Schizosaccharomyces pombe: one gene and its partner. The main gene of each other region encodes a partner of the protein of the gene in region 2 in a complex. Each region holds a gene or a part of one and is shown on either strand. Other genes may lie near its edges. A codon is read from its position in the direction of its gene.

Region 1 (6,550 bases), 590 kb from region 2:
GCGAAGGGCCAAGTTGCAACTACTTCTCCACAACAGATACCAAATCAAATTCAACAGGCTTCCGCTGCTACTACCGCTTCTTCAAAGATGACTGTTGACACCAATCTTGGCACAGCACAACCTTCTTTGTATAATACTCCTTCATCTGATTATGAACTGGCAAATCAGGAAAAGCCGGCAGACTCCATGGCCTCTGCCGCCTCTCTAAATACCCCTTTATCATCTAATGACCATTCTTTGAATCCACACGCCCATGGCTCATATCCGATGTACGAAAAATTTCAACCGATTCAGCATCCAAATCCAGGAAGCTTTACCACCCATCTTGACTCCAATGCTTCCATGGCAAAGTCATTTTCTCAAATTTCAAACGATTCCCTTGCCAAAGCTAGTTCAGTAGCAACGTCCATGTCTCAAATGGGCGCTGCTGTTCCAACTACTGGCTTGTGGAAGCGGCAACCAAGGATTTTACTTGTCGAAGATGATGAACTTTCTCGTAGAATGACTATCAAATTTTTAACTTCATTTGATTGCCAGGTCGATGTAGCTGTCGATGGAATTGGTGCCGTAAATAAAGCTAATGCTGGTGGATTCGATCTCATCTTAATGGACTTTATACTTCCTAATTTGGATGGACTGTCTGTAACCTGTTTAATTCGTCAATACGATCATAACACACCGATTTTGGCTATAACTTCAAATATATCGATGAATGATGCAGTTACCTACTTTAATCATGGTGTAACAGATCTATTAGTTAAGCCATTTACAAAGTTGACTCTACTTCAACTTTTAAAAAAGCAACTTTTGAATCTTTTACAAGCGGATAACTCAATTAATATGTCTGATGTTCCCTCCACGAAAGAAGCTAAAGACGATAAGGCTCCTGTGACATTTTACTTAGAGAATGATGCTCCTATGTATCCTCAACAGATGTTACAGGATCCCATTCAAGCAGACTTACAGCATCCACATTGATGGAAAAGTCTTAATGTTATATATTTCTTATTTTTACTATCAGGTCTCTTTTACTTTTGTTTTATATAAAAAACTATCTATCACTTCTGTTTGATTTAGTTAAAGGTTTAATCTTTGGTCTATGTATCTATGTTCTCTTTGGGGTTCAAGTTAAGGCTTTCTTTTCGAAGAAAGGCTTTTCATATCCCATGACTAGTTGTTTAAATTCCACAAATTCCAAACAGTGTCGGAATTGTCTTTCATATCAACTACAACTAGAAACATGTACAGAAGAGACATAATCAATATAACTTTTCAGTTTTTGCATTGTATTTTAGCCACTATTTTCTTCGGTTTGCTCAAATTATATTATCTTCATTCGCTTGTTGTATTTCTTACATTTCAGCTAAAAATATTGAATTCGTCCAACTGATATTATCGTAAATAACTATGCGTGTAATTAACAGAATAGTGCTGGATTTTAACAACGCGCCCTGTAGACCAAAATTTTATTTTTCTTCTCTATCGTATTATTATTTGCTAGAAAATAATAGCCAGCTAAATTATGAGTGACCCTTTTTTTTTGAGTAGACAGAAACCACTTTCATAACACTGTTTTAAGTCAGAGTTCAGGATTTGTAAGGGAACTATTATTCTGACCCTTCTTCACTCTCGCTTTCACTTTCAGCAGTATTCAACCAGTCGACAAATTGTTTGCCACCGGCATCACGAAGCGCAGCCAATTCTCCTTCGCTAGAGCGGGGATCAGAATACCATTCTTGAATGGCATTCTCTTCAGCAATTTCTAATTGGTAGAAATATCCCAAAAGTTGTAAAAAGTGCCGAGTCATACTCAAACGGACACAGTACTTCTGCAGCGTTAATACGTTGTCAACTTGCTCTTCATGGCTAAATGTCAGTTTTGCAAGCAATGGACCCCAACGTGTCATTACTTTTGCTAGTGCCTCCTTGGGGGATACATCTAAGTGCATGATACGCCTTAAAAGAGCAAGAACAATTGCGGATCGCACCTCGTGATAGTTGGCATTCATGGCCATTCGGAGGGTATTGAGTTCAAGAGCAGCAATATCAATTTGGTGGTTTTCTTCAAAGGCACGTTCAAGACTCTGCTGAGCTTCCTTGTTGAAATCTCCTTCATCGAAATCCTCTGAGTTAATTGTATTGGCAGAATCGCGTCTAGCTGAAAAGGGAATAAATTCCATATCTTCTTCAGAAGACGAACTTGTCTCTGAAGATTCTGAATCAGATAAATGTAACTCATTTGTACTTTCAATAAGCCCTGAAGCCTCCATAAACTCTCCCTCATCATCAGAATCCTCTTCGGCATGATATTCTTGACCACGTCCACCAATCCCTACCAAAGATGGATCGTTCAAAGTTCCTTGAGAGTGACTCTCGAAAGTTGTAAGACGCTTATTTTTTTCAATTATTGTATTATCCCCAATAACAACGCCTGCAGCTACTATAGCACCATCTTCAATTGAACAATTATTTCCAATTTTTACAGAATTGGCAAGAATGGCTTTGCCAATTCGACAATTATCTCCAATGACAACATCTTCCCAAAGGAAAGCACTGTCTATACTACAATTGCTGCCTATGGTACAATTCCTACCAATGATAGTATTCGCAACCACAGACGCATCACCGACTTTGGTATAGGCACCGATCAAAGTTCGTGCCTTAATAATGCAAGAACGAGCAAGAACAACGTCTTCTTCCTTATAAATCTGATGTCTTTGATAACTAAAAGTTTGGTTAAGAAGATTGCTATCGGGAACAAAAGGATAGACCCATCGAGAAAGAACATCTTTGCTAATAGCATCATAAGTTTGAAGACTACGAACACGAGCTGCATAATTTTCTTTAGCAACATGGCAATGAATCTTTTTTCCTAAAAGATCAGAGGTTAAAACACCATATACGAAGTCTTTTCGAATGTCTTGGTAATCAAAGTTTTCAGTAAAAAGGGCAGGTACATCATTGGAGCAAATGTCAATTTGACAGTCAATCAAATCATTTCGAACCTCCAACTCTTCATGCTCATTAAAGATTTCGGGATCCATAGAAACATAATGTTTTCCCCTTTCGTTAGCTTGATAATGCACGCATTGGCTGGTCTTTTTATCTATCACGAAAACAGAACTCTCTGTACGGGCGCGTGTACGATGAAATGGACTTGCTTCTCGTACAACCATTGTCATAATAGCATTTTTATCATCTTCACGGCGCTTCCGATGTTCTTTCAAAACTTCGTTTAGAGGCACATTGGATACCACATCGCCTGATACGAGTATGAAATCGGAGGTAATTAGCTGTTTTGAATCGAGCTCTCTTAAAGCATCACCAACCGACAGAGATTCTCTTGACACAATCGTGTTTACACTAAAGGGGGAAGAGGGAAGATTCCACTTTGACTTTCTGTGGGTTATATTGTGTTAGTTATATCGTATCAGAAATTCGAATTTAAGACCTCAATTTAGCACATACTCTATATATTCTCGAATTTGTCCTGCATGGGCACAGCAAAATACATAAACTTCTTGCACCCCGGCCAATGCCAAAAACTCAAAAGTGTACTCTATTAAAGGGGTATTTGCTAAAGGAAGAAGACACTAATAATATTAGTACTTAAAGTGTACACTGGTAATTGCATACGCGAGGTTTATCTAATGTAAGAGGGCGAAACCGATAATTATAAGAATCCGACAAAACAATCGCTAAAAATTAGTAACAAACACTTTTTGAATCCCAAAAACATTACCTTGCAGAGCGTGTTTTGGCTTTTCTAGCTTGCCATTCAGCCCTTTGGATGGAGGCATTTCGACAATGTAGAGGGATTAGACATATTTCTCAATATCATTTAAGCCCAAACAGTCATTTAAGGATGCCGTGCTCCACTGCCTTATAACTTAAAGATTATTCTAAACAATTCATCAACTAGAGACTAAAAAGGAATTTATAAAGACGTTAATAATCAAAGAGTAATTAAATTTAGGATATTAAATTTGCATAGCTCATTTCTTTTATAGTTTATTGGCGAAAGAAAGTGGTTTTATTTAAGTAACCACAAAAATTCCACATAATAAACAGAAGATATAAACGGTGATTTATCCTGTTAAGTTGGTAAATTTTGTCAATTTGTTTTCTACAATTGGGTAGTGGTTGCAAACATTTTACTAATCTTATGGTAGTTTATCGAGATTTGAATACAGGTTTCAAGTGTTTACACGGTAATCAAAAAGAAACATAATAAATAAAACTTCATAATAATTATTATTACTGATATAAAGTGGATGGTAGAAATCGATTCGTCAATTAGGGACGATACGAATTGTTGATGAAAAGCAACCACGTGAATAAATATACTAAGTGTAGCATTAAAAGTTATGAATAGAAAAAGAGAAAATTAATAAATAATAGACAATTGGGGAGAAGATATTGGGGATGCTCTTCATTTGATTCGTTCACTCAATGCATAAGGCGTAAAGAAATTAATAGCAAGGATATTCATGCTTGATCAATTAACAAACGTAATCTTCCGGAATTGAGAAGAAGTATTAAAAATTAGCTGATGATAGAAAGCTATACATCACAAATGGGAGGGAAGAGTCCTACGGCTCGAATTTCTGGTAAACTCGATATTCATTGATTGAACATGCAAATCAACGAGTTAACTTGAATTAAGAATAATAATCAATGCATAGAGTCAGCATAAAATTGTCTTTGGTTGAATAAATTAGTCATAAAGAAAGCACGGTAAAATATTAATCTTGATATAAATATAAAACTTGGGCTGATGCACATTTCCGAGTCCATCTTTTATTTTCTTTTTTCTTTTCATTCGTTAGTTGATATTACTCCAATACCCAGAGCTCGATGTCCACGATTTGGATTCGTTGGTCAGGACAGCCACGATAGCTCAAAGGATTGTTTTCGAATGCAGGAGTACGACTAGAGTAAGCGTACTCTAGAGAGCCATCAAGCCAAAGGCTGTATCTTCCATTACCCCCACCAAATGCCAAAAAGCTTTTGGTGCAATATGCAACAAAATTGGAATTTCCTACGAAAGGGTAATGTACATACTTTTTGGGAGGAAAATATTTCCACAAGAAGGTTTCCTCGGAACCAAAGTAATGAGGTGCAGGAATTAAATAATCAGGGATAAAAACTCCAAAAACATCGCCGTCTGTATCGCGCACAGCTAAAATGCAAGCCCCTTTAGGATGGCCGCTTCGAGCTTTTTCCTTTTCGCAGGCTAAGTACATTGTTTGAAGAGATGCGCCGTCATGTTGCAACGAATAGATTCGTTTCCAAGTTTCAGCAGAAGCATATCTTGCTGGCAAGTTCTCAACGATGTGACTGGCCAATTCATCTGTTATTAAGCCGTCTTTAACACTATACTGTCTTGTAAAGTTAAACATTTCAATTGATACAAAATACTTGCTAAAATTTTGTACTCTTATGGTGTGTGTAGTTAGAAAGATTAAGGTGATCCACTAGCCTTATGTAATAAGTAAACAAATAAATAATTGTGAATACAATAACAAACACTGAAATAAACAACAGTAAGTGTATTCTTTAATTTTCCAAAGAAGAAGTTTTTCTTAATAAAGGTATTCTTATTGATCCTTTTTTATTGTTTTTTTTGAGAAATCGAGTAAATAATTTTTTTGGCGTAATGTGTGATTGTTAAGGTGGAGCAGCAGCCTTGGTATTAGCAATTAAAACATTCGTTCAAATTCTATCATTCAGTAACAACAAAAAATAATTATAGTTGACGAGTCAATAGAAACACTATGAACCTGACTTTTACTCTATATTAATAATCAAATATAGAATAAATACATAGTGTTCCATTACTTGCTATCATACTATGCTATTGAACTTTTATTTATATCTTAAATAAAATCTTTTAGAACTTTTAAGAACAAGTATGTACTTATGTTTGTATAAATATTAAGAACTCATTACAACAAATGAGTCCAATGCAAAAGCTGGCGTTGAGCCAGTAATCTAATTGCCGTCTTTAACTTATCATGAACATTATTGTATTTTTCACATACTATTCTATAAATGAGAATATTACAAAAACAATGAGTTATTATGCTCCTGAGTTGTAATGTACTTAGTTTGCTAATTATCTTCGTTCAATATCTTTGCCGCTTTAGAGAATTCCTGGAGCAAACAGTCCAAAGATTCTCTTCTCTTCTCTTTATGTTTTTCATATTCTAGGTATTCATAATCCTCTAGCTCTTTTGTAGCCTTCAAAGTAACAGTAGACGAACTTGCTTTTTTCTTAGCAAGCGACATTTCAATATGCTTTTTAAAGGATGATATATCAAAACATCGACTTCTTTTTTTCCTCTTCAGCTTCATCAGTTTGTATTGGGAGTAAGCCGATCGATCATCTGACGTCGAAGGATAACTGCAATCAGAAATATCTCGGGTGCTTCTTTGAGGATGTAACTTCAAAGGAATGAGTCCATGGTCTTTTATATCCTCGCTTAAATACATTTCTTGTTCTTTGCTCAAATCCATGATAAAACAACGACCTCGCTTCTCCTTTTCT
Region 2 (6,132 bases):
TAGATGTAGAATAAAAATGAATAATTGATAGAAAGAATAAATAAAAGAAGAGAAATCTGCAAACTTTTTCAATTTATGAATTTTCACTTGGCGTAGACGATAACTCATCTAACCAGATACTGGTGTTCAGCTGAATAGGTATTCCATTACATGCCAAGTCGCTTTTGAGATATTGTAGACGGACCAAAGCAAGCCCGACTTTTCCTAAAATTGCAATAATTTTACCAGGCGATCGACGAGAGACCGGCTCTCCTTGCTTTGCGACAATTGAAAGCGGCGCCGAAGGTTCAATAACTTGAGATGGATTGTCTTCGTAGTTCGGAATAATAAATGGGAAAATCCTTTTTCTTGTTACCCCAGTATAGTAGGTGCGGACAGTGAGCTCTTGACCCAAATAGCAGCCCTTGTGGAAATCGATCCCCTTCATCCAATCCATGTTGCTTTCCAGAGGAAATGAAATACTAGGAATAATCTCTTGAGGCCCTTCTGGTATTCCATTTCGGTATCTAAAGACTTTGTAATCATCTAGCGAGCCGGAGGAAGAAGAAGTGCATGTAGAAGTAGGAACTATCATTCGTAGCAAACGCTGTTTGGAAAAGCGAGGATCTTTTGCGTAAGCGACAGTATCTTTTAACCTACTTTCTTCCTTTACGTCCCAAATTACTTTGATAGATAATTCTTCAGATGGTATCTTTGCTATACTACACCGGGATCGCAGGTTGTATTTCTTCAGGTGTTTTAAAAAATCGGATTCTGCAACCTTGTCAATTTCAACGTACAATTCATCAGATCGTTCATTTTCCGTGCCATTATTGGAGACTTTTGGATATATAAAGGAATCAAATAATACTCGCCCCTAGTAAGTTAGAATACATCGCGCATCATTAAACCCAACACCGCAAGCTCCTTACCTGTGTATTTAAGAAGCCCGTGTATACAGGATTATCTAAAGTTATTTTGTTGGTCGTTAAGCCCTGAAGAAACTTGACTGCATCAACTCCTTCAACACGAATGAGAGATTTCGATGAATTTAGACAAACGCTGTAATTTCTAAATAGCTGGAATGAGAACTTTATAAACTTGCTCCTAACGGTGAACCTATTCATTGCCCATAGGTAAAGTACTTGAATTCACTTGGTTTCCTGAGGCTAGAATAGGACTCTTTTACAGTAAACCGAATTTCTAAAATCGATAAGTGGTTGAGATGATGATTTCGCATCACATTGTTTTTGTTACTTTTCGGGGGAATCCAAGGAGGATATGGCAAAATTATTAGTGTATATTATAAAGATATATATTATTATTTGTTTGCAATACAGTAATATCACTGTAGGAAAAAAACCTAAGGTCAAAACATACTGAAGATGAATTTTCTTCGATGAGGAACAAAATTTCCCTTTTCTTAAAAAAATAATATTTAATTCTGGTGTTTATTACTAGAATCGCTCTTAAATTATTACAGGTTTTAGATCATAAGCTGACATCAAGCGTAAAGCTTGTGATGCAAAATTTTATTTCAGCTTCGAACATCAGTTCTATAATTTAAAAAAAAAAAAATTGAATATCGAGTAACAGCTTTCTATTTTGTGTCTTAAAAAAAAAGAGATTGCAAGTTTTCTCCGATATATCCGAAGCATCAGCATACTATAGCCGGAAATGAAGTGATGAAATGACATTGTACGATCCCTGCTCATTTCATTTCATCTACAAATATTAACCATTAATACAACAAAAGAACATCATTACTCTTAACCATGCCAATAGCTCCCCTTGGATATACCAATATGTCAAAAATCATGTTGAGACAATTTAAATGCCAATATATAATCTACATGGAAAAATTAGAACAGTTTAGGTTCCTTTAAGAAAAGAGTAAACAATGAACTTTTGTAAATTTAAATATAATGAATTTTTTATTTTCACACAAACCAAATCTTCCAAGCATTGAGAAAGGAATGAGAAATAACAAAGGGAAAATGAAAGGTACTTCAAGGAAGCAAACATGGATATGCTCATAAATTACCTCTGAGGTGGACGAAACAAAAAAACAAAAGGAAATTAGAGAAATTAAGCATAAACCTGTTTGAACTCGTTTATGATAGCCGGTACCGAGGTTGAAGGTAAAAGCCCCATTTCACAAACACATACAGTAATTAGACGAGGTGGAGTAACATCGTATTTTAGACTGAGTAATTTTAAGTTCTTAACACTTTTCCAATTTGCGAGTACACCAGGTTTTTCTTCAAAGTCATCCACACCCATGTTTACAAGTTGATCGCCAGGTGCAAGTTCATTGTATACCAACGAATCCAATTGAATGCGCTCAGTAAATTTATAAGACTCGCAACACGCTATTACTGGAACATTAGACTCGTGTCCCAAAAGGGAAATTAAAGAGGTACCGGCACGAGAATATAGAGCACCATTCGAAAGCATAGCATGGCCTCCAAGGAAAATTTTGGTCACTTCTTGCATGATATAGGAAAGCGCTGAAATCATGACATAGGTACATTCAATCCCATGCTCGGTCAACAGCTTCAAACAAACCCGGCCTTCAAATTCTGGACGAGAGTCTACCACGACAACCCGGAATTTTTTACCAACATTCTTAGCATGAATGAGAACATCGTTTACTGTCGAAGAGTGCAAGTACGTTAAAATGACATCTCCGTCTTGTATTTTTTCGGTTGCTGCTTGTACGATGACTTGTCCTGCAATGATAATACGATCGCGAATATAACTGTCAATTTTTTCCAGAAGCAATTCTTTTCCCTCGTCGTCGGTAAGGTCAATGTCTAAAACAGAAATTTCGAGTTTTAAAAAGCGAATGGCGTTCCCCATACTGATACTCAACGGACGAGTTGATACTAAATAAGCAATTTGAGAATTTATATGCGTGGTCAGATGCCTGCTCAACGTCGTACCGTAGGGTGTTTGATAATCTTGGATGACGATTTTAAAAGTTTTCAACAAATCAATACAGCGCTGATTCGATCCAAAAATCTTATAATTTGCAAGTTTTAAACCCAAACGAATAACAGCAGGATGGATATCTTTCGGAATATTTTCAGTGGTTCTACGACGTCTCCAATCGAGGTGCGAAAAGATAGAAACTTGCTTTTCCTCAAAAATCTTTTTTTCTTGCAAATTAGCATCAGTTTCTGGACTATTCTGCGGGTTTTGTTTCGATGCCTTCTTTTGTTGGTTACTATTTTTATTAGGGATAGCTACCTTTTTTTCTTCTGAAACACCGGGTGGATTATTCGCGGCAGCTGCTTCGGCTTTTGCTCTTCTACTTGCTTGTTTTCTGGCCTTTTTCAACGCTTTTGCCTCCTTCCCTGAAAGTTTTGGCTCATTGGGAGAAACGACAGAAGAAGCTGTAGCTGGAGATGTTCCTCCCACACTAGAGCTTTCACTAACAGGGCTTTGATCCTTCCCATCCTTTTTTGCTTGTTCTGCTGAGAACCCCATCAGAAAATCAATATTTCTATTAAATTGGTTTGTTTTGGTAGAAGCGTAGATGAGTTTAGCTATAACACCCAACGTGCGCTTAGTGACCTTACCCTTACTACACCAACGCTATTCGACAACGTATACTTGTAGTTCGCATATATATTACTAGAAATTAATTACTTTATCGCCTTAAAATATCATAAAATTAAGAACTTTTATTTTTATTTTTTATAACCGTACAAACGTATTTATGATATTTATTAACAGGAATGGGCAAAAATACAGACAAACTGTACATTACACAAACTGAGCATTCGGGTGTGCATGGGTGGCATGGTGGTATGAGTGGCATAGCCCAAAAGAACAGTACCACAAGTTACAAACAACTTCCTTTTAATTATTGCTCTCTTTCCTTGCAGCCCTTTAACCATCCTTGTTGTCTTGTGGATGAAACCAAGCAAGCCATTATTTTCGATTTTAGGTATGTAAATCACTATTAGATGTGAGTTTCGAAGCAAATTTTTTGGTATTAAATGATATTTGTTTACCAACTAATCTAGTTGCTTTTGGAAATCTTTCATTCTTCATAAAAAAGTGGTGATGAGCGCTAACATGTGTTAGATTTATTGTTCCTTGGCTTCGAAAACATGGTACTAATCCTATTAATGGACAAAAGGCATCAATGTCAGATTTAATAAAGCTCAAGTTTGCAAAAAACAGTGCTGAAGAGTATTGTGATCCAGTTACGATGAAAAGCTTTACGCGCTTTTCACACATCGTGGCTATCCGTTCTACAGGGAATTGTTTTTCTTGGGATACTATTGAACGTTTGAACATAAAACCAAAACATTGGAGGGATCTCGTGAACGAAGAGCAATTTACCAGAGACGACATAATTACCATCCAGGATCCTCATAACGTTGAGAACCGAGATTTTTCGGCCATTCAAAAACAAAAGGAAACCGCAAGAGATGAAAAAATAACCAAGGCCAAAATTGCTTTACAAGCATCTCGCGCCAAGTCAACGGAGTCAACTTCATCACCTGAGTTATCGCATTCTCTCGATTCATCTAAATCTATAGCTTCTGATATGCCAATTCATCGCGCATCCCATACAACTGGTTATGCTGCAGCTTCCTTAACCTCCACATCATTTACTCCTGTAACGAAGAATGAAAGAGCAATTATTGCTGAAGAAGATTATATGCTTAACCATACGCGGATCAAGCACAAAGGATACGCGCGTATTGTTACTAATCACGGAGAAATTAATATTGAGTTGCATACAGACTATGCACCCCATGCTGTTTACAATTTTGTCCAGCTTGCCAAGCAGGGCTATTATCGTAATACAATTTTTCATCGCAATATTGCTAGATTTATGATTCAAGGAGGTGATCCTAGTGGAACTGGAAGAGGTGGTCAAAGTATTTGGGGCAAGCCGTTTAAGGACGAGTTTTGTAACCCTTTAAAGCATGACGATCGTGGAATTATATCTATGGCCAATCGTGGAAAAAATACCAATGGAAGTCAATTGTAAGTGTTTTCTTCTCTATTTTTTAAAAGCTTCAAAGAAATGCAAGTGCTAACCTGATTTATAGCTTTATATTGTATGGACCAGCGAAACATTTGGACAATAAACATACAATATTTGGTCGAGTTGTCGGTGGTTTAAATGTTTTGGATGCTCTTGAAAAAGTCCCTACCAACAGTAATGATCACCCCAAGTTACCAATCAAGCTTGAAGACATCATAATATTTGTAGACCCATTCGAAGAGTGGAAAAAAGATGAGCGGGAGAAGGAGAAACGAAAAAGACAAGAAGAAGAAGAGGAAAATAATTTAGACCGCACTTCTTGGACTGGGAGGGATTTATCGGCGTCTTCTACGGATCATTCTCTAAATGCGTCTGTTGGAAAATATCTAAAAAAGGAAGTATCACTTGAAGAAAAGACATTCACTTCTACTGTAAATCCCAAAAAGAAAAAAGCACGCACAGGATTTGGAAATTTTGACGCATGGTAAACTTACTAAGTCAAACGAAATATATACCAAACAACTTAATATACGGGACTTGTTAAATTATTTCTGAGTTTATAAGGTTTTTTAATATCATATCATTTATTGAACATTTTGTTGTACAGTAAGAAGCTTCGCAGGCAGCAAATATTGAACCTTTGCCTCTTAAAACAAACTGCTATCGAAAGTGTGGCATCCAAAATTGAAAGGAGAGAATTGCAAATTTGTGAAAAAGTAAAGGAAGTTTATTTTAAGGCATCTTCAAGTGAAGGGAAATGGTATTGGTATATGTAAGCGTCGACGTATCCCTCATGACCCTTAAGTCTACCAGCATCTTTGATAATACCGGCTCGTGTGAAATTTAGTCTTTCCCATAGTCGAATGCTCTTTATGTTGGTAGCGAAAACGAGATTAAACACGCTTGATTTGAAACCAATTCGAGGAGCAAAGTACAAATAGGCATTGGCCAAATTACGCCCAATGCCTTTGCTCCGGTGACTAGGTGAAACCAAAAATCCACCATTACAAATATGAGAGCATCGACCGGGATAGTTAGGCTTAATGTAGAAGGCACCGAGTAAGCTCGTTTTCCAGTCAATTGAAGCCGTAGCCAAATCTGGAGCAGGTGATGTCTCACTCTCAACAGGAACACAGATTACA

Evidence for each region.
Region 1: the proteins of tif224 (region 2) and tif225 are in contact, whole or in part, in a crystal structure (PDB 5B04), measured with the Schizosaccharomyces pombe proteins. Residues at the interface, in NP_594503.1 of Schizosaccharomyces pombe: Arg295 (codon at 2,589), Tyr331 (codon at 2,481), Ile332 (codon at 2,478), Gln334 (codon at 2,472), Glu335 (codon at 2,469), Glu410 (codon at 2,244), Lys412 (codon at 2,238); in NP_594285.1 of Schizosaccharomyces pombe: Lys267 (codon at 2,846), Glu268 (codon at 2,843), Tyr308 (codon at 2,723), Arg310 (codon at 2,717), His311 (codon at 2,714).

What each region holds. Positions count from the first base shown.
Region 1 is NC_003424.3:3,667,698-3,674,247, forward strand, and holds tif225 (translation initiation factor eIF2B epsilon subunit tif225), read right to left. Parts: upstream 3,810-6,550; 5' UTR 3,801-3,809; coding exon 3,743-3,800; exon of another isoform or gene 3,699-3,742; coding exon 3,637-3,698; exon of another isoform or gene 3,594-3,636; coding exon 3,469-3,593; exon of another isoform or gene 3,400-3,468; coding exon 1,608-3,399; 3' UTR 1,433-1,607; downstream 1-1,432. Other genes in the region: stress-responsive DNA-binding transcription factor Prr1, read left to right, coding at 1-978; V-type ATPase inhibitor and disassembly protein in response to oxidative stress Oxr1, read right to left, coding at 4,836-5,402. UniProt on the Schizosaccharomyces pombe protein: Acts as a component of the translation initiation factor 2B (eIF2B) complex, which catalyzes the exchange of GDP for GTP on the eukaryotic initiation factor 2 (eIF2) complex gamma subunit.
Region 2 is NC_003424.3:4,255,075-4,261,206, reverse strand, and holds tif224 (translation initiation factor eIF2B delta subunit tif224), read right to left. Parts: upstream 3,508-6,132; 5' UTR 3,472-3,507; coding exon 2,068-3,471; 3' UTR 1,424-2,067; downstream 1-1,423. Other genes in the region: iba57 (iron-sulfur cluster biogenesis IBA57-like protein), read right to left, coding at 74-856, 912-1,106; cyclophilin family peptidyl-prolyl cis-trans isomerase Cyp8, read left to right, coding at 3,723-3,934, 4,075-4,989, 5,055-5,478; L-azetidine-2-carboxylic acid acetyltransferase Aca1, read right to left, coding at 5,718-6,132. UniProt on the Schizosaccharomyces pombe protein: Acts as a component of the translation initiation factor 2B (eIF2B) complex, which catalyzes the exchange of GDP for GTP on the eukaryotic initiation factor 2 (eIF2) complex gamma subunit.